Daphnia pulex: one gene and its partners. The protein of the gene in region 5 purifies or fractionates together with the protein of the main gene of each other region. This does not show direct contact. Links are inferred from orthologs where the notes say so. Each region holds a gene or a part of one and is shown on either strand. Other genes may lie near its edges. The genes, in order: small nuclear ribonucleoprotein Sm D1-like, splicing factor U2AF 50 kDa subunit-like, tuftelin-interacting protein 11-like, pre-mRNA-processing-splicing factor 8, U1 small nuclear ribonucleoprotein 70 kDa-like, arginine and glutamate-rich protein 1-like and U5 small nuclear ribonucleoprotein 200 kDa helicase-like.

The links.
Region 1: the proteins of U1 small nuclear ribonucleoprotein 70 kDa-like (region 5) and small nuclear ribonucleoprotein Sm D1-like purify together in Homo sapiens (affinity purification with mass spectrometry; 6 studies listed by BioGRID and IntAct, counting the BioPlex papers as one, with this or other methods). This does not show direct contact. The link is inferred for Daphnia pulex from reciprocal best matches to the Homo sapiens genes SNRNP70 and SNRPD1.
Region 2: the proteins of U1 small nuclear ribonucleoprotein 70 kDa-like (region 5) and splicing factor U2AF 50 kDa subunit-like purify together in Homo sapiens (affinity purification with mass spectrometry; 4 studies listed by BioGRID, with this or other methods). This does not show direct contact. The link is inferred for Daphnia pulex from reciprocal best matches to the Homo sapiens genes SNRNP70 and U2AF2.
Region 3: the proteins of U1 small nuclear ribonucleoprotein 70 kDa-like (region 5) and tuftelin-interacting protein 11-like fractionate together in Homo sapiens (co-fractionation; 3 studies listed by BioGRID, with this or other methods). This does not show direct contact. The link is inferred for Daphnia pulex from reciprocal best matches to the Homo sapiens genes SNRNP70 and TFIP11.
Region 4: the proteins of U1 small nuclear ribonucleoprotein 70 kDa-like (region 5) and pre-mRNA-processing-splicing factor 8 fractionate together in Homo sapiens (co-fractionation; 3 studies listed by BioGRID, with this or other methods). This does not show direct contact. The link is inferred for Daphnia pulex from reciprocal best matches to the Homo sapiens genes SNRNP70 and PRPF8.
Region 6: the proteins of U1 small nuclear ribonucleoprotein 70 kDa-like (region 5) and arginine and glutamate-rich protein 1-like purify together in Homo sapiens (affinity purification with mass spectrometry; 3 studies listed by BioGRID and IntAct, with this or other methods). This does not show direct contact. The link is inferred for Daphnia pulex from reciprocal best matches to the Homo sapiens genes SNRNP70 and ARGLU1.
Region 7: the proteins of U1 small nuclear ribonucleoprotein 70 kDa-like (region 5) and U5 small nuclear ribonucleoprotein 200 kDa helicase-like fractionate together in Homo sapiens (co-fractionation; 3 studies listed by BioGRID, with this or other methods). This does not show direct contact. The link is inferred for Daphnia pulex from reciprocal best matches to the Homo sapiens genes SNRNP70 and SNRNP200.

The regions. Positions count from the first base shown.
Region 1 is NC_060020.1:8,496,567-8,499,382, forward strand, and holds small nuclear ribonucleoprotein Sm D1-like, read right to left. Parts: upstream 1,577-2,816; 5' UTR 1,428-1,576; coding exon 1,414-1,427; intron 1,227-1,413; coding exon 1,150-1,226; intron 987-1,149; coding exon 786-986; intron 728-785; coding exon 642-727; 3' UTR 546-641; downstream 1-545. Other genes in the region: GPALPP motifs-containing protein 1-like, read left to right, coding at 2,009-2,482, 2,570-2,740, 2,809-2,816. UniProt on the Homo sapiens protein: Plays a role in pre-mRNA splicing as a core component of the spliceosomal U1, U2, U4 and U5 small nuclear ribonucleoproteins (snRNPs), the building blocks of the spliceosome.
Region 2 is NC_060018.1:5,213,010-5,217,244, forward strand, and holds the start of splicing factor U2AF 50 kDa subunit-like, read right to left. Parts: upstream 2,809-4,235; 5' UTR 2,656-2,808; coding exon 2,628-2,655; intron 2,340-2,627; coding exon 2,040-2,339; intron 1,976-2,039; coding exon 1,713-1,975; intron 1,637-1,712; coding exon 1,414-1,636; intron 1,347-1,413; coding exon 1,273-1,346; intron 990-1,272; coding exon 867-989; intron 804-866; coding exon 645-803; intron 579-644; coding exon 279-578; 3' UTR 1-278. Other genes in the region: RNA-binding protein 28-like, read left to right, coding at 3,075-3,188, 3,263-3,431, 3,492-3,940, 4,003-4,180. UniProt on the Homo sapiens protein: Plays a role in pre-mRNA splicing and 3'-end processing. By recruiting PRPF19 and the PRP19C/Prp19 complex/NTC/Nineteen complex to the RNA polymerase II C-terminal domain (CTD), and thereby pre-mRNA, may couple transcription to splicing.
Region 3 is NC_060026.1:12,432,098-12,436,463, reverse strand, and holds the start of tuftelin-interacting protein 11-like, read right to left. Parts: upstream 2,833-4,366; 5' UTR 2,796-2,832; coding exon 2,485-2,795; intron 2,425-2,484; coding exon 2,232-2,424; intron 2,159-2,231; coding exon 2,065-2,158; intron 1,994-2,064; coding exon 1,892-1,993; intron 1,835-1,891; coding exon 1,720-1,834; intron 1,645-1,719; coding exon 1,449-1,644; intron 1,386-1,448; coding exon 976-1,385; intron 913-975; coding exon 623-912; intron 555-622; coding exon 467-554; intron 378-466; coding exon 247-377; intron 181-246; coding exon 114-180; intron 50-113; coding exon 22-49; intron 1-21. Other genes in the region: uncharacterized protein LOC124205947, read right to left, coding at 3,251-3,729, 3,807-4,058, 4,242-4,366. UniProt on the Homo sapiens protein: Involved in pre-mRNA splicing, specifically in spliceosome disassembly during late-stage splicing events. Intron turnover seems to proceed through reactions in two lariat-intron associated complexes termed Intron Large (IL) and Intron Small (IS).
Region 4 is NC_060027.1:2,049,057-2,053,367, reverse strand, and holds the start of pre-mRNA-processing-splicing factor 8, read right to left. Parts: upstream 2,954-4,311; 5' UTR 2,799-2,953; intron 2,597-2,798; 5' UTR 2,569-2,596; coding exon 2,343-2,568; intron 2,282-2,342; coding exon 1,949-2,281; intron 1,888-1,948; coding exon 1,269-1,887; intron 1,098-1,268; coding exon 905-1,097; intron 841-904; coding exon 523-840; intron 288-522; coding exon 1-287. UniProt on the Homo sapiens protein: Plays a role in pre-mRNA splicing as core component of precatalytic, catalytic and postcatalytic spliceosomal complexes, both of the predominant U2-type spliceosome and the minor U12-type spliceosome.
Region 5 is NC_060026.1:6,141,064-6,145,026, reverse strand, and holds the start of U1 small nuclear ribonucleoprotein 70 kDa-like, read left to right. Parts: upstream 1-1,163; 5' UTR 1,164-1,455; coding exon 1,456-1,599; intron 1,600-2,069; coding exon 2,070-2,187; intron 2,188-2,256; coding exon 2,257-2,321; intron 2,322-2,459; coding exon 2,460-2,522; intron 2,523-2,583; coding exon 2,584-2,665; intron 2,666-3,598; coding exon 3,599-3,679; intron 3,680-3,882; coding exon 3,883-3,963. UniProt on the Homo sapiens protein: Component of the spliceosomal U1 snRNP, which is essential for recognition of the pre-mRNA 5' splice-site and the subsequent assembly of the spliceosome. SNRNP70 binds to the loop I region of U1-snRNA.
Region 6 is NC_060026.1:6,459,034-6,463,174, forward strand, and holds the start of arginine and glutamate-rich protein 1-like, read right to left. Parts: upstream 2,850-4,141; 5' UTR 2,722-2,849; exon of another isoform or gene 2,541-2,721; intron 2,469-2,540; 5' UTR 2,408-2,468; intron 2,299-2,407; exon of another isoform or gene 2,229-2,298; intron 2,220-2,228; exon of another isoform or gene 2,070-2,219; intron 1,967-2,069; 5' UTR 1,946-1,966; coding exon 1,791-1,945; intron 1,723-1,790; coding exon 1,579-1,722; intron 1,516-1,578; coding exon 1,290-1,515; intron 401-1,289; coding exon 317-400; intron 240-316; coding exon 78-239; 3' UTR 1-77. Other genes in the region: melanotransferrin-like, read right to left, coding at 3,479-3,723, 3,785-4,141. UniProt on the Homo sapiens protein: Dual function regulator of gene expression; regulator of transcription and modulator of alternative splicing. General coactivator of nuclear receptor-induced gene expression, including genes activated by the glucocorticoid receptor NR3C1.
Region 7 is NC_060022.1:2,646,489-2,650,727, forward strand, and holds the start of U5 small nuclear ribonucleoprotein 200 kDa helicase-like, read right to left. Parts: upstream 2,907-4,239; 5' UTR 2,862-2,906; coding exon 1,571-2,861; intron 1,564-1,570; exon of another isoform or gene 1,558-1,563; intron 1,506-1,557; coding exon 352-1,505; intron 283-351; coding exon 1-282. Other genes in the region: zinc finger protein 704-like, read right to left, coding at 3,983-4,216. UniProt on the Homo sapiens protein: Catalyzes the ATP-dependent unwinding of U4/U6 RNA duplices, an essential step in the assembly of a catalytically active spliceosome. Plays a role in pre-mRNA splicing as a core component of precatalytic, catalytic and postcatalytic spliceosomal complexes.

The DNA of each region.
Region 1 (2,816 bases), on a different chromosome or scaffold from region 5:
AACGAGGAAAATGCAAATTTTGCATTTCATTCTATGTATGAATAATAGAAAATTAGGAGCAGATATCGCCGAAAGCCTCTTAAACGCAAATACCTCTTAAACTGAAGTTACAAAAGCAAATAAAACTTGTAGCCACGACTGTTCTTAAACATGTCAAGTTTTCCTTAAATTTGCGACATTCTTAATTTAAATTAAAGTTTAATGGTTTAGTCACAAAAAATTGAATAGTTTTAGTCTAAATTTAATAGAAAAGTAATTTAACTTTCATTTCCATCAAACTTTCATTACTTATTACACCGCTCTTTACACTTGTTTTTTCCCCGACTCCTCTGACAAAATGGCAAGAATAGTCAATATTCTTGAAATAAGCAAGGAAACGTTATGCGATGTCCGCTTATAAATCAAGAAAAGGAATTGACGGTTCTCTACAAATTATCTATGCTTACATGGGAGTCAATTGGAATTGATAAATAATTCTCATACAGACTCAACTGTGGGGAAAAAAGTGTTTGTTTTAAGGACTTTTCAACTGACCAAAAAACATATAAGACAATGACAATTTGTAATGCAAATGAAAACTGATTCCACATTTGCTGAAAAGAACGAAAAAAAAAATGGAAAATCGTTGGAAATTACAAATTTCAGCGTCGAGGACCAGTAGCACCACGTCCACGTCCTCGTCCACGTCCTCCTCTGACAGCTCCGCGTCCACGGCCTCTTCCACGAGCTAAAAAAAGAAAAGAAAATGAAAAGAGGAACACAGTGATAAGGGGAAAAAAGTTTACCTCTACCGCTAGCATCCTTCTTCTTGGCCTTGGCTTTCGGAGAATCATCCAATAGTAAGGTTTCAAGAGGAAGTGAATCAGGTAAAATGTAGTACCGGATGTTGTTTCCTCTAATACTCAAAGTTTCAAGCTGAACAGGGTCTCTGTTTTTAACTGTCATTTTCACAGCTTTTAAATGAGTGTTCATAGCAACATCAACTCCTATAAAACATAATCAAATGAATGAATTTAGTAATATACAAAACGGAAAACTTTTCTTCTAAAATGTCACTTATGTGTTTGCAATTTCACTAAGTTTTCGAAGAAAGTATTTAAGGATTGCAGTAAAATAAAAAATCGAATAAAGACAACAAAATTGAATTACCTGTTATTGTTCCATGAACCTGAGTACCATTTTTTAATTCAATAATGACTGTTTCGTGGCTCAGTTTCATCAAAAACCTAAGGATTATACAAAATAATGGTATTTATTTCAATTGAAAGCAGTGAACTATTTAAGTTGTGAAATATAGAAACGGCATAGTTTCCCAGACGCATCCAACAACCGGCTTAATACCCAGACCAAACCGATTTTTGTGGCTACTTTCTGTACGAATTTACTTGACAATGAACATATTCCGAAACTTACCTCACTAATTTCATTTTTGATAAACTTGTTGTTTGATGGCTGTAATAAAGTAAATCACCATATACGACTTATTGAATGTTTTAATCCTTAGTTTAGTGAAACGCACGAGGTACGCTAGTCAAAAACCAAAACTGCTTGTTGGAAGCATAACTTATACTAAAAAGGCCCTGTGACATTTCATATTTCATAACGGTCGATGACTATGATTTTTGTACTTGTAACGTAGCGCCATCTACGCAAATATTTTGAATTTTGTTATTAGACAAGGTTTATTTTTGCATATTTTAATCAAAAATTAACTAATAATAATTTTTTTTTATTATTTTAAATTTATTTATCAAAATAAATTCATAAATCCAGAAGCATTATCGAAGCGTATCATAGAACCGCATAGAACACAAGTGGCATGACATGAGTGACAATAAAACGTACTCCAAAACAGAAAACACATGAGACAGGCCTGCATACTATAACAGCATTTCCAGTAAGCTAAACATTGGGTTTCGGTTTCACCTATTTTCGATTTTTTAAAAATAATTCTTTGTCGGTAACGCATTCTCAATTTCCCGCGTGGTTTTAATTTTTCCCTCTCAAAATGTCTCGAATCGGACCAACATTACCTCCTCATCTTCAAACAGCGTATGAAAATGATGATTCAGATTCTGATGAAGGTGATCTCTACGGACCAGCACTTCCCGCTCATTTAAAATCACAGAAAGTGTCCAGCAAGTTAGTGCAATCAAATATCTCCAATGACAGAGGATGCTCTGTTAATCATGAAGTTGACTCTTCATCAGATGATGAAGTTATTGGACCACTGCCAGCTGATTGTATGGATGCTGAACATAGTTCATCAGTTGACATTGAACAGCGGGCTCTTAAGATGAAGAGGAAGTTGCTTGGTGTGGATGATGATGAAGCCAACAAGCAACCAAAAAGAGAAGATTGGATGATTGAGCTTCCAGAACTGAAAAGGAAAAACTTTGGCCTGGGACCTCGTGTCTTTAATCGTTCTGACAAACCTGAGGTTGTAGGGAGAGATCAATGGACTTCAACACCAACTTCCAAGGTTCAGATAGTACAATAGATACACATATAATGAAATTTTCTTAGCTGGTCATTGCTAATTTCTATAATTTAATTAATATAATTTTAGCAGCCTAGTACATCCAAAGAAAAAGATGAGGATTTTGAAGCTGAAATGAGGAAACAATACTTGGAACAAAAAAGGAATAAGAAGCTTGAGAAAATTGTGGCCATGCATGATAAATCCAAGAAGAGGTCAGAGAGTTTGTTGAAGACACATCAAAAGGAAATGAAAAGCAAGGTAATCCTACATTTTTATTTTTGCTGTTAAAGTTGGGGTAATTTGAAGTAAGATTTTTGTTTCTATAGAAAGACAA
Region 2 (4,235 bases), on a different chromosome or scaffold from region 5:
TGTTTGTTTTGTTTTTTCACCGACACGCCAAACAAAGAGGTTGGACAACACAAACTTGATGCAAAATATCGAAAAACCCATTTAGAAATGACAAAAAAAAACTGAAGAAAAAGAAAATCAAATTCATCAAGGGAAATCCCGTACGCATCAGGCCGTTTATTCTCATCAAGCGTCGGTTCGTCATGACGTTATTTGTTTCATCAAAGTAAAAAAAAAAAAAAAAAGAAGGGGCATATCTTGCGGATTACTTTTTGTCTGATGACAGAAGCCGTCATGGCTTAGAAGTCCCGTCGGTGATAGCGTTCCGGTTCGTAAAATGACGTAACGACGATACGATTGGCGAACTTGCGACCTGTCAGCGCCTGCTGGGCTTTAACGCAGTCGCTCACCGAAATAAACTCGACGAAGACCTTGCCAACTCCCGGTACATCATCGACACCCTCCAACGGCCTGGGAATTTCGACTGAACGTACGGCTCCATGACGATTGCATTCCTCACGAATATCGTCCACAATTTCCTCATATTCCTCGTCGTCCCTCAATTCCTCGGGTGTCACCATGTTCAGCAGACATAGAACCTACGCAAAAGAAAAGACCAAAATGAAATTAAAAATTGTCGCATTAGACAAGGTTGATTTTTGTACCTCTGTCGGTTGGCCAGGACCGGCAGCAAGATTGAATCCTGGTACTTGAATCTGGACTGGCATCTGGGCGTAAGCAGCGGCGTTTTTGGCTCCAACACTGGCTCGCTGGATGATGATCTTTTTGTCTCCCAACTGCATACCGTTCAATCCGGAAATAGCCTGAAAGAAAAATAAAATTAGATGTAATGGTTTTTCAAGGAATATTATCATGGTCTACTTTACTTGATCGGTGACGGTGACGTCGGCATACTCGCAGAAAGCGTATCCCTTGGATAAGCCAGTAGCCGTATCTTTAACTAAGTTAAAGGCTCGAAGTTGTCCAAAAGACATCAGCAATTCCTTTACCTAAATTCGAATGAGACAATTTGCGTGCGTGCCTAGAGTCGACCTTCAAAAATAACAATCTAGGGATCGACGGTGGGGAGATGGATCGAGGTTGTGTGGTTGGAATGGGTAGGAAGTTTTAAGGATCACGTGACCACTGTTTAGGGAGAACGAAAGAAGAAGACATTCATCAGAATCGATTTTGCTTCAACTAGACGCTCACAAATCCCATTTCTCTCACTCTTTTTTCTTCTCCCAATCGAAAACACATTTTACAGTCACATCGACGAAACAGGTAACTTACTTGTTCTTCGTTTAAGTAATTTGGAAGTCCACCGATGAACAATTTGTGGGGTGTATCCGGGACGATCGTGCTCACTGAGCAAAAAACAATGAATACATTAAAGAAATTTGCCATAAAAGAATCACTTTAAGTCGTCCTTACTTGTGCCTCCTCCTCCTCCACCACCTCCACCTCCAGCCCTCTTTTCAGTTATACCACCAGAACTCATGCCGGGCGTTGTTTCGGGACCACCACCTCCTCCTCCTCCGCCGCCACCACCAGGTGTTGGATGATAATCATGGGGTCTGCGGATTTTTAGAGTTTGACCTTTAAAGTTAATACCGTCAAAAGCCATGGCCTGGGAAGTTTCATCAATTGACCGAAACTGAAAAGTAAAAGAGCAAAATTATTTAAATATTCCACTAAAATACTAGGTTTCACGTGAAAACAATCCAACAAACCTCCAAGAATGCAAAATTCTTATCCAGATTAATTTGACAAGCTAAAATGGGATGACCTGGAGCTTGAGACAGACCAGACAAATGCATCTGTTGATTGAAGAAATCCATCATTTCCTCCTCCGCTGCGCGTACATCAGAAACTCCAAAAGGAATATTCCCAACATAGAGTCTCCTGGCTTGACGAGTGATTGTGTTACCCACTACTGGTACTTGGACTTGTGGGGCTACTTCCGTCATTATGTTAGCTGGAATTTGTCCGGCAGCTACGTAGATTCAAGAAAATAATAATTAGCACATTAAAATTGAAACTTGAATAAGGATTTATACCTTGCATTGCTTTGTATTGCATGGGTGTGATGTGTTCGAAACCAATAGGAGGAATATCCCAGTAAATAGACGGCTTTCTTCGGCGTTGCTTTTTAACAGGAGAACGACTCCTTTTGCGTTCACGTTCACGGGACTTGCTACGCTTCTTCTCCTTCTCCTTTTCCTTAGATTTAGACCTTCTCTTTCTGTCACGAGACCTGGACCGTCTACGATCCCTGTCTCTATCTCTTTCCCTATCCTTGTCTCTTTCCTTGTCCTTTTCCTTATCTCTGGAACGGTCACGATCTCTCTCCCTGTCAACTAAAGTATTTCAAATGTTAATAAATCAAACAAGTAAGTTTACTTGCTTGACTACCTTCTAACTACTATGACTAATATTTCCATACAAAAGCAAAACCACGAGCCAACATTATAAACCATTAAAAGTTATGAAATTATGTGTAAAATACAACCAGATCATTAAACACCCATTACTTGTAAGTAATGTGTGTTAAACATTTCTTTCTTAAGCATCACAGACTCTTAAGAACATTACAAAAGCATTATAGTTGATATTGACAGAAGTAGTTTAGAGAAGTTAAAACATACCTTTACGATCATCTTTATCTTCTCCCATGATTAACGTGTGATTGTTAGCTTTTGTACGACAATAAGAAGAAACACAGCAGAGGAAAACAGTTAATTATTGTCCAAATTTTCACTAAGACTGTAAGCCGGTTTGATTAAAGGCTGGGAATGGGCGAATGGCGTCGGAGACGAGGTTCGATTGACTCCTTGTACCGGCAACGTCGATTTAATGTTTACAATTTCAAACTTGGTTTTGATTAATATACTGAAAGGTAAGATTAAATATTTCATAAAATAATAGCCACATAAAATTTATTTTCTGAGTAATTGTTGTATTCATGTTAATCCTCATTAGTTGTCATTTTGCCAATTGACAACAGTCTATGCTACATTTTGACACATATAATCGTCTGCTTGACTAGCTACATCAGTTATACAGACAAGCACGTGTTTGGATAGATTTAAAAGATGAATCACTCTTCAGTTAAAAAAGAAGCTTCTATTGTTACTAAAGCAAACACATCAAAGAAGAGACCACCCAATAAAAGAGGAAGAATAATTATTCGCAATTTATCTTTCAAAGTAAGCCAAGAAACTTTAATTTATGCTACTTTTAGTATGTTAGTAAGTTAGTACTTGATTTAATTTATTAACAGGCAACAGAAGAAGCTGTTAAAAACTGGTTTGAGAAATATGGAGAAATTGAGGATGTGAAATTATTAAAGAAACCTGGTGGCACTTTAGTTGGCTGTGGTTTTGTTCAATTTAAAACAGTTCCATGTGCGGCTACAGCAATCAAAGAATGCAATGCAAAACCATTTCTTGGTAAGAAAATTTTAACATTTTAAATTTGATAATAGCTTATCAATTGTTTTTTTTTTGTAGGAAGGCAAATAGCTATTGATTGGGCCATACCAAAACAACAGTATGCCACTTTAAATAATAAAACTGACGAAGTTCCAAACATTGAGCCGCCAGAGAAGAAAAATGACAGAAAAGATGAAGAATCTGATGATGAAGAAAGTAATGATGAAGAAGAAGATAATGATGAAGAAGAACAAGATGGAGAAGCTTCTGATTCTGAAGTTGAGAATGGTTCCGGTGAAGAAGAAAGTCCAAAAAAAGAAGAAGCTTGGAAGGGTGATAATTCTGAAATAGAAAAGAAGAGTGATGTAGCAGAAGGAAAGACTCTTTTTATCAGAAATTTGGACTTTTCAACCACAAAAGACTCGTTGAAAAATTTCATGGAAAAATTTGGCAGTGTTCACTATGCATTGTTGTGTATGGATAAAATTATGGAGAGACCCAAGGGCACTGGATTCGTAAAATTTAGAGTAAGTTGCATTATTGCAAAAATAAATACATACTAATAACTTTTCATATTAACCATTTTTAGGATTCGGAATCGGCTCAAAAGTGTTTAGAAGAGTCTCGAAATCCATATTTACAGTTAGATGGACGCATTTTAGACGTGGCTCTTGCAGTTACTCGGGAAGACCTCGATCACAAAAAGCAAGAAGCTGAAAAAAAGGAACATAAGGATAAGAGAAATCTATTTCTTGCTCGCGAAGGATGTAAGATTCTGAATGTAGATATTAAAGATTGTTTTTTCTTGCTTATCTTACAATT
Region 3 (4,366 bases), about 6.3 Mb from region 5:
TGTGAAATAAATTCAACGTACCTGCAACCATTTTGGGAAGAAATTGGACCTGCAATAATAAAACAGAAGATTGTACTTTTTAGTTTAAACCCATGATACAAGATTATACTTACACAAGTAATTGTATAAGGCTTTGGGAAGGCATAAGATCTTTCCAGTTCATTATCCAGTGCCAAACATCTATTTATGTATTCAATGTAAAAGTTAATAAACGTATTTAAGTTCTGTAGTATTGTAGTAACGAACCTAATTCTTGTCGACTGGGGTTTATGTCCCAATTTGCAATAGCAACTTGCAGTTTTGGTAAAATATTTTTGATGAGGAAAGCATCCATGGAACCCTTGGAGAAAACGGGAACCCAAGGCATCAAAACGGAACTAAAAAATCCATACGGAAGTACACAATATATTAAGTTACACGTTAAAGATAGTCAGCCTTTTAAAAACTAATAAAAAAAAAAAAATACCGTGCAGACTGATCTGACGGTGACCAAGCCACCAACGCTTGTGCCATTTTATGCCGAATGTTGGGATATACGATTTCCAGTTTTGATCCTGAAAATTTGAAATTATTTAAATTTACTACATGATGCAACTATCTAACACGAGTATAAATGCACTACCTAGTCGGGGAAGCCAGGGATGGATCCAGGCATGAATGGGAATGAGATCAGTCAACGGATTCCAACTGTCTACTTCTTTTTGTATTCTGGGAAGAATGAGTTGATCCAAAATATTTTCCATGATCCAGTTTGGCAAAATTTGCTCCCACGACTCGATCAAGTCAACCATTGGATCCGCATTTTTGCAAGTCCACTGTCCAACGAGTCCTCGAAATGCTGGCATCCAGGCATGCCATAACAACCCGTGATAAGGATCCATTCGACTATCATTTTTAACAATTCCGCCCCGACTGTGAATTTTGAAAAATGTTTTACAAAGCAACTCACTCCCACCTCCCACCGAATATTCTTACCTGTTGGTCTGAGTCTTGTTGCAAAATTCCAAGATAGGTCTCCATCGTTGAAAAATTAAACGACAAGCTTCATCTGTTGATTTAGAATCCATGGGACGCCAATAGGTTGATAATCGCAACTTCATTAGGGGAATGAGGTAAGTCAGAGTAACGTTGGCTAGATCCGACGATACGTATTCTTCCGGGTAGCTTTGTTCCAAATTCCTTATCTGCTCCCAAAGGAAGTCTAGAGATAGCTCGTTTGTCGCCTGTTTCAGTTCAAGCTGTTCCAGGACTCCAAGCATCGATGTAAGCATTTCCATTCGTGTGATCTCCTTAGAAACCTCAACGCTCATATTTTTCACTTGCGATTCCATGGCCAATATTTGCTCTTGATTGTAGGAGAGTTCTTTGGCATTTTGAATAATTTCCTATTATTAACGATAAACAGAATTGATTATGAAATCCAAATAATTGTGACAATAATATCTTACGTGTTCACAATGGTCTACTAGAGTGTCCAAGTTGTAGCAGAGTTTTTCAAGTTGAAATTTATCAACTTTGAGTCCAGCTGGTGCAGGTTCGGAATCGCTTGGCTCTTCCGTCCTTTTGGTTCTCAGAGCGCTGTATCCTTGAAGAACACGTTGTTCTCGGCCTGTCATATCAATCACTTTGGCTTTGGAAATTTCACTATATATACAACAGTGTTTTAGATTTCATGCAGAAAAAATGAAAGGTCTTGATTTAAAATCTCAATACTATTACCTGTATTCTCGAGCCATTCTATGAACACCACCTTTAGACATTTCTTCAATCACTTCTTCGGAAGTACGATACATATATTGGATCTTTTTTTTCTTCGACGATGGTTCGACTAAATCTAATATTCATTTTTTAAAAGATTACTCACTATTTTAGTATATTAACTTTTCTTTACCTTTTCTCCAGTGGGCCAAGTTTTTCTTGAACTCTTTCTCTTCTTCATCATCTGATGCTTGTTTCTTTGCAGGTTCATTTTTGTGTTCAGCTCCATACATACCTATGACATGAAGAAATTGCAACAATAGAGATCAATAAGTTAAGTGAAAATCAAAAGCAATGTTTCATTACCAACTGCTCCTCTTCCTTTGCGAACCTGAGCTTCCACAGGTTGGCTTCTTCCTTGCAACTCTTTACCAAGTCCTTTTCCAGGTTGGTAACCCATCTAAACAAAGAAAAATTATTAAAATAGTAAATTAATCTGTTGGGATGCATTCAACAAAATAAAACTGACACACCTGAAATAGAAGCTTAGCACCAATTCCTTTAGTATGTTTTTCCCATTCACCAAGATCGCCAGCACCTGAGCTCTTAGCATCTTTGCTGAACCTATCAAACATTTTTCTGGGCTGTTTCTTGTCCTGCAATGTTTTCTTTCCAGCTGTAAGATTGATTTCACTGGCACTATTGTGGGAATCATCTTCTTCGTCACTATAAAATCAGAAAAGCACTGTGTAATTGTCTTTGAAAGATAACTATGTAATGGCATACCTTTCTGAATACGAAAAGAGCTTGGTTTTTTTCTCAGGTAATTTCTCCTTTTTTGATCCCTGCTGAACACCACCTTTGACAAAATCAACTGGTGTGGTGTAATCCTTGGCTGTTGACGATTTGGAAAAACCTGGACGGCCAGAAGATGACGTTGACCGCTGAGTGAAATTTTCCCCTTCATCTTCATCAAATACTCCATATATCTGTTGGTTTTTCGTCATCTTTTTAAAACGACGTTGACCAGGTTGGAAAGCATCATACAAATCTCTTTCTGACACATCGAAACTCTCCATCTCTTCTTCATTAGCCATTTTCAAAAATTTAGTAAAATGATGATGAAAATTAACCAAATAAGTTGATGATATATGTCTTTCTTTTGTATCAGTTAGAAACACATCAAATAATGATTTAGTTTGAAGAACACAAACTAACAACACACAACACAGTTAAAACTGAAAGTACAAAGTTGCTTAGTATTTTTATATTTCTTCTGCTACCTTGGAGAATGCTAAACAGTAACCAGGTACGTAGTGCGAGCGCGTATAACAGGTCCCAGCGGTTTGAACATGTGATACCAGTTCGAACTTCCTTCCCTTTTACTTATTAAAAAAAAATCTTATTTCAATCCTACTCCAGCAAATTACCATTCCTTTATTAATTAATATCAAATTATTTTCTACCACTCGTAATATATTTTTCAATAATCGGGTCAAAATTCAGTCCATGGTCGATTTTCGCATTTTGGATGTTCCTTCAGCTGAAATTTTCAAAGAGACGAGGCAATATCTTCCTCCAACATGAAACCGGTGAAATGAGTGTAGTGGTCACCGTTGTCAGCCAAATACACCCCTGGTAAGATTTGTTGAATCTGAACCCAAACTTGATCACCTGATTTCAATTTCAGCGTCGACTGGAGGGACAACTGATCATTTTGAAAAGCGACGGTGTTTCCCTCTTCGAGATAAGCAATCCCGACTCCATTCCCGTTCAGATAAAGAATGATTTGCAAGCGAACTAGAGACGTTGTAGCCGGAAGTTCAACCGATCCAGTAAAAGCGAAAGAATAAACTCCTGATCGTGGGGCCGTGAATTTTCCTGTTGTTAAGTTAAAGGCATTTCCCACGTTTATCCGCGCCACATCAAAAGGAATTGGAACCAACTCCGTGTTGAATGAAGAACTTCTCTGAACGTAGAAATGGGCGGGCGCTGATTTGACATCAGCGTATCCAATCCATTTCTCGAAACCTTTTTTAGAAATAATTTGTTGTTATTAAATAATAATTCAGAGTGCATAATAAAGAGAAAAAAAAATAAACATTTACCGTCATCGCCAGGAACTTTGGTGAAATCGCAGTAAACGGATTCCATCGTCGTAGATCCCATAATGGAATAAAATCCATTGAGGGTGTGGCCAATTAACCAAAGATCCTTACATGACGTGGGCATTCTAGTCAGGGCGACTGATCCGGTACACACCAATCGACCAAGCGTGTGGATGCCCGACGAAGTTTCCAGTTGAGTTCGGCCAAAATTCAAGCGGGTGACGGGCAGGACATTTTTGTCCGTAATGACACCTAAAAACATTTGAAGCCAAAAAAAAAATAAAGAGAATATTTACTGAGTCATTTTTGTCACACGGAAAGACGAGGAGATCACGAATATTAACTTCAACATATTTGTTTATAATTTTTCATGAAAGAAAATTAATGTTCTGTTATAAATCTTGTATAATTCCGAGAATCGTTTTCAACTCTTACCGTTATCGACTAATTGAACTGGAGCCACTGAGTCACAGTTGCACTTTGCAATAGAATCAACACAATTTCCGTCAATTCCGCACTGACAGGTGTGAATTCCGGCTGCGTTATTTCCGGACCAAAAA
Region 4 (4,311 bases), on a different chromosome or scaffold from region 5:
ATGCCAGTCAATTGACCAACGTGAGCAAAAATATACTGAAGACCATCAGCCAATTGGAAAGCATCGACGTTGTTGAGACGATACTGGACATGGGAGTCGATGATCAGCTTCGTCAAACGCAGGATTTCACGACAAAGATGGAAAGCATTTCCGAAACGTGACTTTTTACGCTCCTTGGTTGTAAGGGTCTTGACGGGTTTCAAGTTGAAATTGTAATCCAAATGTAAGTAGTTGAGGTTCTTCCTGTGAATCAACAAGTTCAACATATTCCATCCTTGACGACAGACCTAAATTTGTTCAAACAAAGAAATGGGTTAAGTCTTTGGGAAGAGATATAAAAATATGAAATGTGAAGTTAAGAGGATTGTTAATATCAGTAAGTGCGTTGTCCCATCGAAAGTTGGCTAGCAAACGGCCAGACCCGACTTTCAATGTCTACCTAACATGTTATGGGTAATTTCATGACCCCTGCACAACTCATCATTATAAAGGACTCTTAACAGGAAAAAGTTTAATATTTACCTGGAGGCCGACTTCAACCCAATCCAAAGTTGTTTGCTGGAAGAATTTGGTCGACTTGAAGGACCGGAAAAGATAACGCTTGCGCTGGGCTTTCGGTGGTCGATGCTTGAGCGCATTCAAGACGTAGTACTTTAATAGCTTCTGGTATGAAACGCGCACCTTGACCGGTTGTCCGGGTGGGCAGTGTTCACGGTACCAGTTTTTGACCAATGGAACATCCAGTGCACGACGAGTGAATCCCGACCTGCAGTTGAACGGCCTGGGAGCCCACAACAACGCAATACCGTTCGCTGTGTTGTCCGTATACAAGGGCCATTCCTGTCAAGAGAAATATCGATTAAAATTGCTTTTTAACTAAAATTTCAGATGATGGAAAATTTACTTGAAGCAGTGGTGCCGCATATTCTGGTAATTCAAATTCTTCGCTATCGTCGGGTAACAAATCTTGCTCAGACATTTCTGCCAACTTGTTCTCGGTACGGCGATGCGAAATCGGATTGATGAGCGGATCGAAGTAGAAAGCCGGCAAATCGGGATCTTCTGTCTTGATGAAGGTCACATTTGGGGTGTGATACCTAAAAGAGAAATAATCATTGTAGGGCTCAATATAGTTTTATGTAGTAAAGACTAAGAGCTCTTGGTTTTTTTTATCTACGACTGTTTCAGCCACCAACATCCAAGTATCTTCTGGATATCGGTGTATATCTCAGCCATTAAAGCACAAGTTGAAAGCCAGTATTACTCACCAAGATAAATGAACAAAGTTGGGCATGTTGTTGTAGAGATAGGGGAAGGCAATACGATATTCTGTTCGAACAGGTTGCCGGATGATAATCTTGTTGATATCATTAAATTCATTCCAATCCTCATCTTGAGTGTTTCCGTCCTTTACAAGTGGCTCGAATTTAGGTCCACCCGGAATTGCCATATTCAGCGCCTTGGCGGTGAAGAATGACTTGAGGTCGAAGAGGTAAAAGTAATTGTCATCGACGAGGTCAGTCAACAATTGGTTCGCCAAACGGTAGAGTGTCGCCAGTTGAGGCATTTCGAGTTGCCACTTGCGATAGGTGGTACCATTGACGAATTTAGTATCGACCAAAGGTTTACTATCGTACAGCCAAGAAGCAACTGGTTTGTCTTCGTCCGAGTCCAACTCCATCTGAATGGCTTCCAGGGGTTCTACATCCAAAATATTGTCAGCATAGTCCAACGGAGGTTCTTCGTCGTCAAAAGGAGGAAAGCGCATTCGTTTGAAGTGTCTACGATCTCGTTTCTCTCGACGCATCATAATCCACATGGTACCCCACTGGGCAATGTAAACAGGTTCAACGACCCACGGAATTTCGTTGACGAAGCTAATGGCACCTAAAACAAATGAATACCATTAGCGTTTATACAACATAAAGAAAAGATAAGTGAAACGAACCTGTAATGTGGTAGAGTACTTTAACATCACGGATTTGTTCCCAAGGCATAGGCATGTTCTCCAAGAGCTTGAGAACAGCGTGTGGCATATATTTAAGAGCACCAAGGTACACTCTCTTGTCGTGACGGAACTTTCGGTTGGTCATATCACCATGGTCCCGAATGATTTTACGGACGTGCTCTGGAGGCATATCTTCTTTCTGAGAATCAACAAAGCCAAACTTTCTCTTGTCTGCATAACGTTTGGTTTGTAATTGCTGCCATTTACGAGCCTTGTCTTGCATTTTTTCTTCTGTCATCTGCTCTTGTTTCGAACTAGTTATTACAGGAGGACCTGATGTAAATAAAACTGATAAAATACCTTGTTATAATAAACGTTTGTACTCAATTACTACCTTGTGTTGCCTGAACCTGAGCCTGCACTTGTGCATGGGCTGCTTGAACTGCATGGATCTGAGCAGCTTGAAGTTGAGCAGCTGCAGCTGCTTGAGCCTGCATTTGGACCGCAGCAGCCATTTGGGCTTGCTGTGCCTGTTGCTGGGCTTGCGCCATCATGGCCGCATTTGCCCATGGATTTGGGGGTGTGACACCAGGAATAAAAAATGGTGGAATTCCCGACATCCTGATTTAAGCTTTCTGGGCTATGGCCCTGGTAATTAAAACAATAAAATTAGAACATAATAGCTCCATCATCCAATGCTTACAGTCAGCCATGACATTTACAAGCATGTCCACTCTCATGGCAATAAACTATTTGTTTAGCCTTAAAACATTCACCAGACAGTTACTTTTGAGACACAAACCATCATCAATGAAACAAAGTTTGAAATAGAATAAACGACAATGCTCACCAATAAAGTTTTAAAAACCTATACACAATCTAGAAACCAGTCGCAATTCCACGTTTCTTATACAATGAAAGCCACGGAAGTATACGCAGCTTGTACGAAAAAGCGCGATGCCGGTTTACTGTAGACGGAGTTGCCGTCGAAAATGGCTTGAATATTTATTTTAATTATTTTTAAATAAGCGGCAACTCCGTTTGTTATTGCATCACACGTTCGAAATTTGTCTGCTTCTTTTTATTTTGAGTTTGTTGCAGTTTTTCGTTTTTCTTATCATGTTTACACATTGTTATCGTTCGATTTGATAAATTAGTAGTGAAAGTTTATCGCTACTAAACCGAACTCAGTGCAAATTCTTAATGATCACCATTCTAGTCTGTAGTTCAAAATATTTTTTGTGACTCCAATTATCGTAACAACAATAGACTACTGCCATGGAAGTATAAAATTATAATGTCCCCTTTTTCAAGACAAGATTAAAGAGGATTTCATTTTTTTTTTTATGTAAACGTTTTATGTATTTCAGACTCTTGCAATCAAGTTGATTGAAGGTCTGTTGGAGGAACTGTCGAGGACAAAATCACTTTCAGTTTCCTTAGCTGGACCATTAAAAGATTCAGCCACTGTTGCTTTGCCAACCTTCCTTGGTGGCTTAGCTGGTGGTCCTCTTGGAGCTGTCATTGGTAATTTTCAGTTTGGCAGTTTTCATTTTTTTCCATTTGGCACCTATCATTTTTTCTTGTCATCATTTGCAGGAGCTGTCGCAGGCACAGGAATCCTAGGTTTATCACACGCTATGGGATATGGCAATTACAAACCTCTGATGACAGCTTTAAGAGAGGACTTTACGGTAGAAGAGAGGAACAATTTGTATGAAAGACTATGGGGAAGACTGAGTGGATTTGTAGTCTGCCCTTTGAATCAAGCCATGGCTTATTCAGCTCTAACTGAATTGAGCAGAACTGTAGAGAATAATCCAGAAGTGATGGAAAATATCAGAAATGAGCTCAAAGAAACCCTCAGCAAAAAGAATATGAGTTTGGCCTAAAAATGAAATAATTACTATTTACTGTAGTTTTTAGATGCCCCTTATAATTGAACTGCCCCTTTGATTTGTGATATTGCAAGAGCTAAAATCATATTAAATAATGAATTTTTTGACACACAATTTATGCAACCAACAATAATTGTTTGAGAGTTTTGGCGCATTATTAAATACACTAAGTGCATCACCAATTCAAGGGGAACTGTTTTTTAAGTTTTAGTTTAGTTTGACCTGATGCATATCATACGAAAATCCAGTAATTCTACCTATTAGATTATACTTCCTTTATTTAATAATGAACACCTTTAATTTCTTCAAATTCTCTTATTTCGCAATTCCCAAATTTCATTTCCTTATCACGACTACTGAATTGGGTTTTTCCCGAACAGTTTATCTAAACAAATGTCACAGTTCGGATTTCGTTCATTAGATGGGTCTGCTTTCAGAGGTGATGTCAGTATCCAAGGCGCTAAG
Region 5 (3,963 bases):
CCATCTAGGTATCTCGGGCAATCTGCCTTAGTAGAACTATGGAAACATGTTCACAGATTGTATGGTTCCATTTTTGGGTTTATTTTTGTGGGCGGACCGGCGGAGTGCTTGCGGTCACGTGATGATGGAAACTCGATTCAGAATCATGTCGTGTGTATCAGACTTTGCCGCGTTTTGTTTGTTTATTTTTTTGCATGTGCTAACGATAAAAAGGCCTATCCTTAAGCTGAGTTAAGCATGAAGGACGAAACAGTATGAGTTTTTTGGCGCAAAAAATTTAGCTAACTAAAGTAAAATTTTGTTATGGTCTTAAAGTAGAGAGCTAGAGACACCGTCTCAACTTTCAGACGATAAATACATCAAGATTAAAGACATTCCTAATCCTAAGAAACCATTAATTTCAATTAATTCAATAATTGAATTCTACGCCATCAAGAGGCCAAATAATATCGAACAGTTTTTTTTTACTTTGTTTTGGTTTGTCTGCAAGTAGAAGTTGAAATCCAAGCTGATTTTTGAAAACCACAATAACATTAACCGAACTTAACCGCATCAGCAATGTATTTAAGAAAAGGCCGAAAAGGCTTTGTAAGAAAGAAAGGAACTAATTTATTTATTTACCAATATTTGGGACTTGGATGTAATTGAAAGATGCTGTACAACTTGAATCTTTTGAGATGCAGTAATGAAATAAATCTTACCGTATAAAATATGTTTACCATATATTAAACCTTGTCAAAAATGCACGTAGAAATTCCCCCTTAGTCTCATTTGAAACCTAATTATGTCTATTTTTATGTAGTATTTATAGTTTTTTTTCCTTAAAGAGCATTAATTTAAATGTTATAAGTTACCTACTACCTACTTACTAGACTCCACTTTCAAGAAATTTAATGAAAAATATCAGCGCCAAACCCATTAAAATCCAATAAGCAATAAGCAACAAGCAAACTAAAGGGCCGGGGGTCTAGTATTACGATTATAATATTTAAAACAATATAAAAAGTAAAAACTGATACAAATTGGTTGGGGCCAAAACGCTGTTTTTGACTGTAGTGACTATTTACTTTTATATATGTCTGATTCTGATCTGGTATTGATTCGTCTGCTTTTTTAAATTTAGTTTTATTTCTAGTTGCCAAATATATATTTTGTTGCTAGCCTATTTACGGCTCAAAAAAAATTTATGAAATTGGTCAGATAAATTAGAAATTACAAAATCCCGCTGTTTTTCCTAAAATCTCAATCCCATCTCATCCCACAATACCCGTTTTTTAAAACGGGTATTTTCAATTTTAAAAACTTGAAAATTTCAAAAGTGGGAAAATCCCACCAAAGACCAAAGTGGCAGCCCTGCCGAGCAATAGATAGACAGTAATGGACTAATGGCCGACAGCTAAGACGCTCGACCGAGAAGCTTTTTGAAAGGTCCATGCTCATTGAAATATTTGTGAAATGACGCAGTTTTTGCCTCCAAATCTTTTGGCTCTTTTTGCGCCACGCGATCCCCCTCCATTTTTACCACCACCTGATAAATTGACTCATGAAAAAAAAAGAACGCCATACATTGGTATAGCGCAGTATACAAATCTGTTTGAGGTTAGTATTTGATTCCATTAAAAATTAAAAATTGATATAGTAGTCAAGGTAAGTATTGCAATTTGATCTAATTTGATTGATTTGGGAAGTAATGTATGTCTTAATTTACTAATGCACGGGTCCCAATCCCAATTTATGGAACAGTTTTGGTTCATTTATTCATTCTCCTCTAGATGTGTCGATGAGAATCCCAAGTTTTCATGTGTGACATGTGAGATGCAAAATATTTTGTGAAAATGTTGTGAAAGTGTCTTAATTTTCTGGAAGCACAGTGTTTCCAGCTGAGCCTTTTATCAGGTTGACAATTTAATGTTAGCATATGTCTGAGGGGTGTAAAGTAGTCATTGTTTCACAAAGTTTTAAATGAGAGATGTGGAACGAAACATTGCATACTAGAAGCATTCTGATGAACTAAGTACTGAGCTTTCAAACATAACGAAATTTTTAATATCATTTTATATTCTTAACAGGATCCTAAAGATACACCCCCTCCTACGCGAGCAGAAACACGGGATGAACGGCGCGAAAGAAAACGTCGCGAAAAGGCAGAACAAGTTGCCTATAAACTTGAACAGGAAATTGCAATGTGTAAGTTCTAATTTTTGGTGTGTTTCTACAATTTCTTTTATCAATTTCCCTTTTCTCTGGCATTCATAGGGGATCCACACAGTAATGGTGTTTCTACCATGGACCCCTTCAAAACGCTGTTCGTTGCTCGCATTGTAAGTGTCAATACTCATACTATAATTTTTTTTTCTCATCACTTTTATTTTATTTCGAGCTTAATGAATAATGAGTGCTAAGTTATAACTAGTAATCCGCATGAATGAAACGATAATTCTTGAAACATTTTCTCTCAGAATTTTGATACTTCGGAATCTAAATTGCGCAGGGAGTTTGAAGTGTACGGAGTTGTTCGGAAGGTAACTTACAAGCACCATGTGAAATTTAATCACACGCTTACCACGCTTTTTAATGTTACAGATTGTGTTGGTGCATGACAAGAGGACTAGTAAGCCACGCGGTTATGCATTCATCGAGTATGAACATGAGCGAGACATGCATTGTAAGTATTTCTTTTCTATTATACCTAAGTCGTGTGGTAACTGAGGGTAGTGGGCTAATTAGTAAGGCCTGCGATAGCTTTCACTGTTCAATTAATCGTCGCACCACCAATTTGTATGATGATGAAAGGGGTGGGGGTGAGGTGGGGAAAATCTGTGATTGATTTGTACCTTAAAGTTTTCCTATATTTCATTTTGTCGTTTCCGGTCACAGTCGCGGCCTCCGACTATTTGGACGGTCATGTGGCCTTTGTCGCTTTTTGTCTCTTGATGCTAGGTTTGTATGGTCAATTGGTAAGGTTTCGTTTGGTTAAAGTTAAACCAAAATCCCTTTGAAATCGACTGCAGGTTCAAATTAGCTTCAAAGAAAGTATCTTTTCGTTTTCACCCTCCCTTCCCCTTGATGGTAGTAAGTATCCTGGTAAGTCGGTTACTAGGCTTTCTAGCGCCACTAAAAATTAGGGCCATTTCAATTCGATCAGATTCTTCGAGTGCTGCTGCGCGTTAAGAGGATTCACAGGTAAAGATGGGGACAGCTTGAAGAGGGAATGGATCTGCTTCTGTGATTGGCAACATTTGATCGCTTATTAATAGATCTGGATGTTACGTGAACATAGCCGTAATCTGGTAAACGGCCGTGGCGTTGGTTTTTTATGCATTTTCCAAGTGTTATGATTGGTCATACTTGAAATCATTGCATTTTTCGTTATTTGTTAATTCACGGTAAATATTTTTCGAAATTGCTGGGAGGGGTAGGTAATGGAGATCCTTCGGTAGGTGATATTAGGTTTGTGATACTAATTGTTGGAACTCTCCTTCTCCATGTTATACACGCTGAATTTTTCGTCTTCTCTGCCTGCTGTACTACCCGTATTTACGATTTGTTCGTTTTGCCGACGGCGCCGAAATACTGGTTTGTTGTTTTAAAATACCAGCTGCGTACAAACACGCCGACGGAAAGAAAATAGACGGCCGCAGAGTTCTTGTAGACGTAGAAAGGGCAAGGACTGTCAAAGGTAATTATTTTAATTAAATAAGTTTTATGTTTATAGTTTGCTGCCCTTTTTTTCGAAGGCAAATTTTAAAATTTGTTTTGAAAATCCATAGGTTTTTTATTTTGATTAATCAGTGTAAATAAGTGCACAAAATTTTTTTCTTCTTGTTAGATATTATAATCATGCCGCCATGGTTTCTAAGTACCTAAACTATTGCATTCCAGGTTGGCTTCCTCGCCGTTTGGGTGGAGGCTTGGGTGGGACTCGTCGTGGAGGACCAGATGTAAACGTAAAACATTCAGGAC
Region 6 (4,141 bases), about 320 kb from region 5:
GTACAGCATAGCAATACTAGGCGAAAGAAATGGCGAGAAATATTAAATTTGGTTGCTTGGATACCCGTAATCAGTCATCACTGTTTACTAAGTGAAAAAGATAATTTGGGTCGAGCATTCTTTTTTCCCAAAATCAAATATTGCTCGTCGCGCATCCGTTTCTCGTGCTCGCGTTGCATCCTTTGTCGATCCTCTTCCATTTTTCTCGATTGCTCCACCATGGCCAAACGTTCCTCCGCCTAAAATTTAGGATAAAAATGCATACAATATTTTGTAAATTGATTATCTTTCAAGTTTGTTTTTGTATGAAACTCACGAGTTTACGCTGGGCTTCCTCGATTTTCTTATTATTCTCTTCCACGATCCGTTCGAGCTCTTCGCGTTTGCGCCTTTCCTCTTCCTGTTTCAAACGGGTATCCGGGTGCATAAGGGAAGATGAGGCAGGATAGGAAGGGACGATGGGTAAGGTTAAAAAAATCGATACTTTAGGACGACGTTAAACGGCACGCGGAACCATATACCCATCCAAGTCACGCCATTAAAAACGGGGTGTAGGGTAGTGATGGTGGCCGAAGTTACCAAGATAAATGGCATTTTTTTTTTAATTAACATAAATAGTGAAGCACAAATGAAATGAACAATCAGTCATGTCAAACGATGAGGATAATGTCAAATATATCGAGAGAGGGGGAAACAAATGTGTTTTGTTTGGTGATGATTTGCTGTTACCTGCACAACCCTGATGACCCTTGAATTGACACTGGAGGTCACGGTACCAGAAAATAACTGACCTTGCTCGGCGGAGAGATCTCACTGTCAGCATACTCCAGATGTCGATCGAAATGATGACCCACCATTAAAAAGGGCCTCAAACCGTTCAATTTCTCTCTCATCACTTGATAACATAAATCGAATTCTCTGCAAATCTTCTTTTTAGGTTTAGGAATAAAATGTCTTGTATAGAAAAAACAAAACAAGACAGCCCGCTCCTATTCGGCGCGGAATGCATATATGAACGCCGGGAGAAAAGAGCTATAAATTTGTGAACAAGATGCAAGATGGGAGAGAAATGTCGCCGATAGACTTCTTCATGTTTTGTATGCGCGGAAACGGCTGAATTTACAATTTTCCACTTTAACAATTTCCTAAATCTTGAGAAGATAACGACATCGCCACCATTTTAAAAATGTGGCAACTACATCGGGAACGAGCTGTAAGTTGATTGCAAATTCAGCGTTTCTTTGCCCGTGAGAAAACGGGAGATAACTGGATCCAACCAAATACGATACCTCGCGGCGGTTTTCTTCTTCCAGCCTCTCTTTCCGTCGCCTTTCTAGCTCCTCCAGCATTTGTCGTTCCATTATTTGTTTGGCTTCTTCGACACGCCGTAAGACTTCAGCTTCAATTTCGTCCTTCCGCTTTTCCAATTCTTCTGCCACTCGTTGCGCCACCATTTCCTCGATTCTTTTGACAGTTTCTTCTTCCACTATCTTTTGTTCCTGTTCCTTTTGACGCCTGAAAGAAACATGACAATTAACGGTTACCCAGACTTCAAAACAATTTATTGTTTTTTCTTACATGATTCTTGCATTATGGGCTGCTCTTTGACGTTCAATTTCAGCGAGTCTTTCGACTTCACTAAGTTTACTCCGACCAAGCCTTAATCTCCGGGAACCAGCATCAGAATCACTGTTGGAAGAGGACGATGATCTTGACCTCTTCCTAATGATACATTTCAAACGCTGAATAAAGAAATTCTATCTTTTTTTGAATACTGCAATTGAGTTAACCTGTATTTAGTCTCAGAAGAATCCTTGCGACTAGAAGGCATCCGATGTTTTTCATTTTTTCTCGATCGCGACCGTGACCTAGAGCGTCTTTTATGTTTGCTTCTCCTCACCCTGTCTCGTGATTTTGAGCGACTTCTGCTTCTCGATTTTGTCATTATTGTTTTTCAACTCTGAAACTGAGAATAGAAATAAAAACTTTTAGTAACTTCTTTATCTTTGGATTTTCTTCAATAACTTCATGCAGTTAAATAGAAAGGTATAAGAGCTCAAAATACACACTTTGATTTAAGAATTTCATTGACTACAGCTTTTATGATTAAAGTCTCATGCATGCGATCCAATCAATTTAATATGATAAAGGTTTTGGTGTACAACTAAGTTTTTTTTTAATAGCCAAGTTAATAGTGGTACGTAACAAATTTCGTTTTCGAGTCGTACACATTTTTTTGGTTGCTTTCAGATTAATCCATCCGAATTTAGGAAAACGCCTATATAACAGATGTTTCTTCTTCAATGGAAGTGCACAAAACAAAGGATTAATAGCATCTATGATACATTTGAACACCAAGGTTTCGATTAAGACTTCTTAAATATCTAGAAATATATTGAATTCATACCTTTTTATGAAGCACAAGATATTCTAGTCGAATTCAACATCAGCACACACACCACAGCCATCTAAAATCAGAAACAGAAATAAAACTGATGTGAAGATGGAAAACAAGAAGTGCACCAGAGGAAGTCACCAACCACATTGGAAAGCCTGAGCTACGCATGGCGAGCTCCACAGATGACGTTGCGGCTGGTTAGTTCGGGCATTTGAAGGAGGGGCATAGGTACATGGGAAATGGGATGTGTACATTCAGATTCAGGGAACTAGGGAAGGAATTTAGAGAACAGTTGATGAAAAGATGAGTAGGGAAGAATTTACCAAGTGGTTATTCCCTTCCTTTAATTTCCGACCACAATGTTATCTAATATCTAAATCTAATATCTATCTCTGAAGTCTGAACAATGCGATACGCAGCTCAGGCTGTCTTACCAAGTTACTACGTTTCTGCGTGAGTTCTCCTGGAGTGCTACTTCATGTTTCATGAAAATGTAATCGGGCGATTGAGCTGCCATCTGCCGGAAATGGGGTTTATTCAATAAAAGATTTAAAAGTCAGCTGAAAATAATAAACCCCAACCAAAGTAAGAAAAAAGCTCAAATTTTGAATTTAAAACTAAAATAATATCAGACAGCACAACTAGAAAGATAAGAACTTAAAAAAAAATATATATTATCCTGCATAAGAATGTGTCTGACCACAAGAAACATTCAAGCTCTTGTGATTATAAGATTTTTTTTTTCACGACATAAAAATCTAAAAGAAATTCGCCTGAAACGTTAGTTTAGATTCCTTTAAGCCAAGAAGACGAAACACTAGCAACAAGGTCATTTTGTTAAAATTACGGTAAAGAGTGAGGGTGAGCTAAAAATAACAGTCATAAAAAGGAGTCCACGATCGCTTTGCAAATTCAAATCAACCACGCATCAAGAAACGTAAATTGGATGTGTATTTCCAATTTAAAAAAAGTCGATCTACATCATAAACAGAGATTCATTGCAGTGAGAAAATGGACGGAAAACATTAGGCACTGTGTCTGTTCACTGAAGTCAAAGTCATTTAAAAAAAGAGGTAGATTCTATAACCTAATATGATTAAAAACGAATATAAAAATTGTGAATGCTGCAGTAATGCTTGATTTTAAAGTGGGGGCCCCAGCTTGGCAATCCACTAACTGTCTGGCTCTCAAGAACTCAGGTCCCAAATATTTGTGATAATGCCTTTGGCTAGGAGGGACGATTTGCAGTTTCTGTGTGGCGTCTTGAAAAATTACGTCGTTATAAGGAGGGTCAGACGTGAACAACGCAAAATCCAAATAATCTCCTAAATTACAGTAATTCAAGATTTTAATTTTTTGAAATAATTAAATGTAAAAATTGTTTACCTTTCAGCCCGTAAAATTGTTGCGCATACATAAAAACGTTTATGAACGCATCGATTTCTGTTTTATTGTAGCCTCGTCCTCCTCTTGCAACCATGGCATTAGCTTTGACCTTCCCTAGATTACAACGAGCGTAATCTGACACGGGAGCTCTTTGGCCATCACGACACAGAAGCTCATAATCTCGCGAAAGCTGATTTCGGGACCAATATTCTCGGCTTTTACCATCAGTGTTTTCTAGAACAGTAGCGTGTCGGACAAAGGCAACGTGACCTCCTCCCTCCACTAAACAGCGGAAAGCCCCAGTATTGCCAAAATAGTCCTCAGAGTGATCACGGCGGCAAAATCGAAAACTTGTGC
Region 7 (4,239 bases), on a different chromosome or scaffold from region 5:
TTGCACTGTGCCGGAAACGATTTCAGCGTTCAGCATGTCTGGTAGTTTGCTGACCATTTGCGACTCGACGGGCAATTGCTGATTTTGCAGCGACAGGTAATACTGTAACTCGCTGTGGTTGGTGATGAGGATACCTTCACCTTTGGTATCGTACTGCGGTCGACCAGCACGACCCAACATTTGCAAGACATCGAGAGATCCAAGTTCGCACCATCGACCTTTCTCCGGATTGTAGACTTGCGTTCCTTTGATGATGACAGTATGGGCTGGCAAATTGACACCCTAATATTGGTAAAAAAATCGTTAAAATTTGACCTTTTCTAAAACGCTCTGATTAGTTATTATATTTACCCAGGCCAAAGTAGCTGTGGAAACGAGCAACTGGATGTGACGATCAGCAAACAAATCTTCGACCAAAGCACGGTCCACACGGCTCATACCAGCGTGATGGATGGCAAAACCATAGGGAAGTAGGTCCTTCAGCTCCTGATTCTTAACTTGTTCGGCTTCATTGCGCAAAACTTCCGTAGAAGCGGAACCCTCACGTAGAAAGGCTCCCAGAGAGTCTTTCTCCAAACAAAGATCGCGGATGGAACGTGCTGTTTTGCCGGTTTCTTTCCTCGAATGAACGAAGACGAGAATTTGATTCTTGCCGGCGTGCTCCATTACCTTCTCGTATACAATTTCGTTCATAATCTGATAACGCTTAACAGCTTTCTTCTCCGTGATTCCAACGTACTGCTGTTCCAAGGGTACAGGGCGGTAGCTGTTGTCGAAGAAGAATAGACCCGTCTTGGGTCGGACACGCAAGAAAGTGGCCACATCTTCGTAATTGGGAAGCGTGGCAGAAAGACCCACCAATCGCAAATCTTCTTGAGTGGATTCGACGGTGCGGATAGTACGAGCTACCAAGGCTTCCAAAACTGGACCACGGTCGTCGTGCAACAAGTGAATTTCGTCAAAGATCATCAACTTGACCAGTTGCGTGTAGGTTCGGTCTCCTGATTTGCGAGTGATAATGTCCCACTTTTCGGGCGTGCAGACAATCACCTGAGTTTGTGCAATTTCTTCACGGCTGAGTTGATGGTCGCCCGTCAATTCGGCAACTTTCAGGTTGAAAGGCGCCAGTCTTTTGCCAAAACTGCCCACCATCTCTTGTACGAGCGAACGCATGGGTGCAACGTAGATGATTTTGAATTCATCAACGCGAATTGTTCCGTCCGGATTGATGTACTTGCCCAATTCTCTCATCATTGTCAACAAAGCCACGTTGGTTTTGCCGGCGCCGGTTGGGGCGCAAATTAACATGTTCTCATCCGATTCGAGAGCTGTTTTATAGATTTTAGACTGGATTCTGTTGAGCGTTTTGAATCCTTCGAAAGCTGGTTGGGCGTAGGTTGGAAGTTTATCGATAGGAATAAGCATTTCATCAGCATCAAAAGGCCTAGGTTTCAATGGTGGCACATGAACTTCTTCGTAGCCTTTACGCTGTTTTCGGAAAGAACCTGCAATACAAGTCCATGTTTAAATTTTGATTGAAATTAAAAGATGAGAAACTAAATTATTATACCTTCTGGAAGTGTACACTTTTTGTTGGCCATGAAGTGAGAGCCCTGAGCGAATGCAAGATCCTCCAAGTCCAGTAGCTCTCGAAGACCTGGAATGCCACTGTACCCTTCCTGTCCTCCACCTCCGACTTCTTTGGAGGCAGAAGTACCTTGACGTGAACTCTTTTTAAAATCGACTTCCATCGGTTCGATTCCAGTGTCGTCCCTCACAGTATCTAATTGTCGAAGGATCTTGTTCAGATGGGGATTGCTCTTCATCTCGTCTTGAATGCTTCGACGTTCAGCTTCGCTCTGTGCGGATGCCAGTAACGAACAGTAAAGAATCATGTGTCTGTTTTGTTTAAGCAGCTTGATGAAGTCAAAGCAGTCAAAACCAAGCAAGACAACTAGCTGATTTTCACATTCTCTTTCATCCTGGATATTCTTGAGGATGTTGAGGACTTCACCGGCTCTGGCTTGAGACACCATGGGGTCACTGTAAAACTTTGACAGCTTCCTCTGAAGCCAATAGGCATCAATATCGAGGGGATGCAATTTCTTCTCTTTTTTACCGCCCAAATCGACGCCACTTGCGACAGCATCAGCATGAATGGCATGGTCTGTTTCAGCTTCATCAGCTTCATCCTCACCGTCATCTTCTTCTCCAATCTCTCCATACACATTTTCTTCTTCGTTTTCTTCGTCTGTGTCTTCAAATTGCACATTGATGCCATACTGGTCGTCCATTTGCTCTTCTCCAGTACCCATTTTCTCGTCTTGGCCCCAATCTGTGATCTTCTTACCCAGGTTAACGAGCAGGGCAAATCTTTCTTCTGGCAAGGAGCCAAGCATAGCCTCTGTTTCCTTTTTCTTCTCCTTATCCTTGAGCTTGTCGTTCTTGAGAACCGTGAGGACTTCATCAGCAGCACCACACAACACATCTCTGGGTTGATCACTCAACGCTTCCTGAATAAAACTGAGAAGCACTTCGTAAGTCTGTTTGGTGTCCTGCGTTTTGGGCCTGTAGATGATGCCAGAGATTTCATCCAGGTTGTCGCTTTGCAAAGGTCCTTTTCCACCATTTTTACCACCAATATCAGTTTTGTTGGGATCACGCTTCTGACGTTTTGCCGGTTTCATCCGTTGGGCTTTGTCACCCATGCGAGTTCCTTCCAACTTCCCAGTAAGGGACATAACCTCACCGGTGGCTTCATCTCGTGCTCGGCGATCGATTAAACGAACGTCAGCTTGTAAAACCAAATTAGAATTGGCTTTATACTCGTACTGGAGCGAACGTGCTGCGGCGTCCGCCATTTCTTACGGCTTGCTTTTAGACACTGACGAAAGTTTCGTATGCTGTTCGAACAGGCAATTGACAGCGTTGCCAGTTTGTAATAAAACAAAATTCAGAATTCGAGAGGAAATTTGTATATTGAAAAATTTAAAAATCTCGCCATAAAACTCTGGGTCGACACGCGCGAAAAAAGGGATAAAAAAAATACAGAAAAAAAGCAATTAAGAAACTAAAACACCATTTTTGTAAGGAGAAAAAACCAAACATTTTTCAAAAGTCCATCGGTCTTGAGAATGAAATGAGAAAAAAACACAGAAACAAAACCCCCCACTATGCGAACTACAAAGGAGATGGAAAAACAAAATCAGGTCTAAATAGGGTAAATCTATAAACGTTAAAATTCACGCAGCGTTATTGCAAAAATAACTCTAAATCGACGAAATAAAGAAACATTGGTAGAGAAAAAAGCCATCTAACGCTGTACAAAGCTTTTTTGAGAGTAACGCAGATATGAGGTGGGACATAGGGATGAAAACAATATTTTTTCAATGATGTTGTACGAGAGGTAATAACGACACCAGTCAGAGAAATCGTCACTGAGCTACGGCAGCCTGGTCAGTGGCAAGATACAAAACAACACTGCATCTTCACAACGAAAATTATGCACACACAACAACACGCTCCGGCATGAATTTGTCATAACAAATACGAAAGCCAATAATAATTAAAAAAATAAAAAATAAAGTCAAAACGTTTTTTTGTCTTTTGTCAAAAAGTTGCCCGCAAGTAAAAATGGTTTCAAACAATATCAACCGCCCAGCGCGCCAAGTGTCATAGATCTTTTGAGATCCGTCATCCGCACAAAAACTTGGCTCCTATTCCGCAATACATCCAGCACCAGACATCAAAATTTAAAAAAAAATTTCCTGTCGACAACAATAAAAAGAAAAATAGCCATGAAACAACAAAACACAATCAGACAAAGAAAAAGGAGGGGAGACGTTTGTTCCATGTCAAAATCAAGCGGAAAACGGATTAAATTTCTACAGTCGGAAATCCGAGCGGTTGTTTTTCTTTTTCTCGGAAAGGATTAAATAGTATATATATACGTACACATTGGGGTGTGGTATAGTCATTTGTTTCACTCGCCGAAGCGAGTGCAAGCCTTTTTCCATTTGCATTGAGTGCACCACTGCTCGCGGTGTTCCATTCCGTAAACCTTGCGGCACTTTTTGGCCTCGCCGCGGGGCCGACGAACGGGACTGCTCTTGACTGTAAAGACCGAAGCTCCGGTAGTAGATGGTGGCGCTAGTGGGGGCGCCGGTGAAGGAGACGTTTTGGGCGACACAACCACTTTGGCCTGTTTGAGCGCATTCTAGAATAATAACAAATAAATTT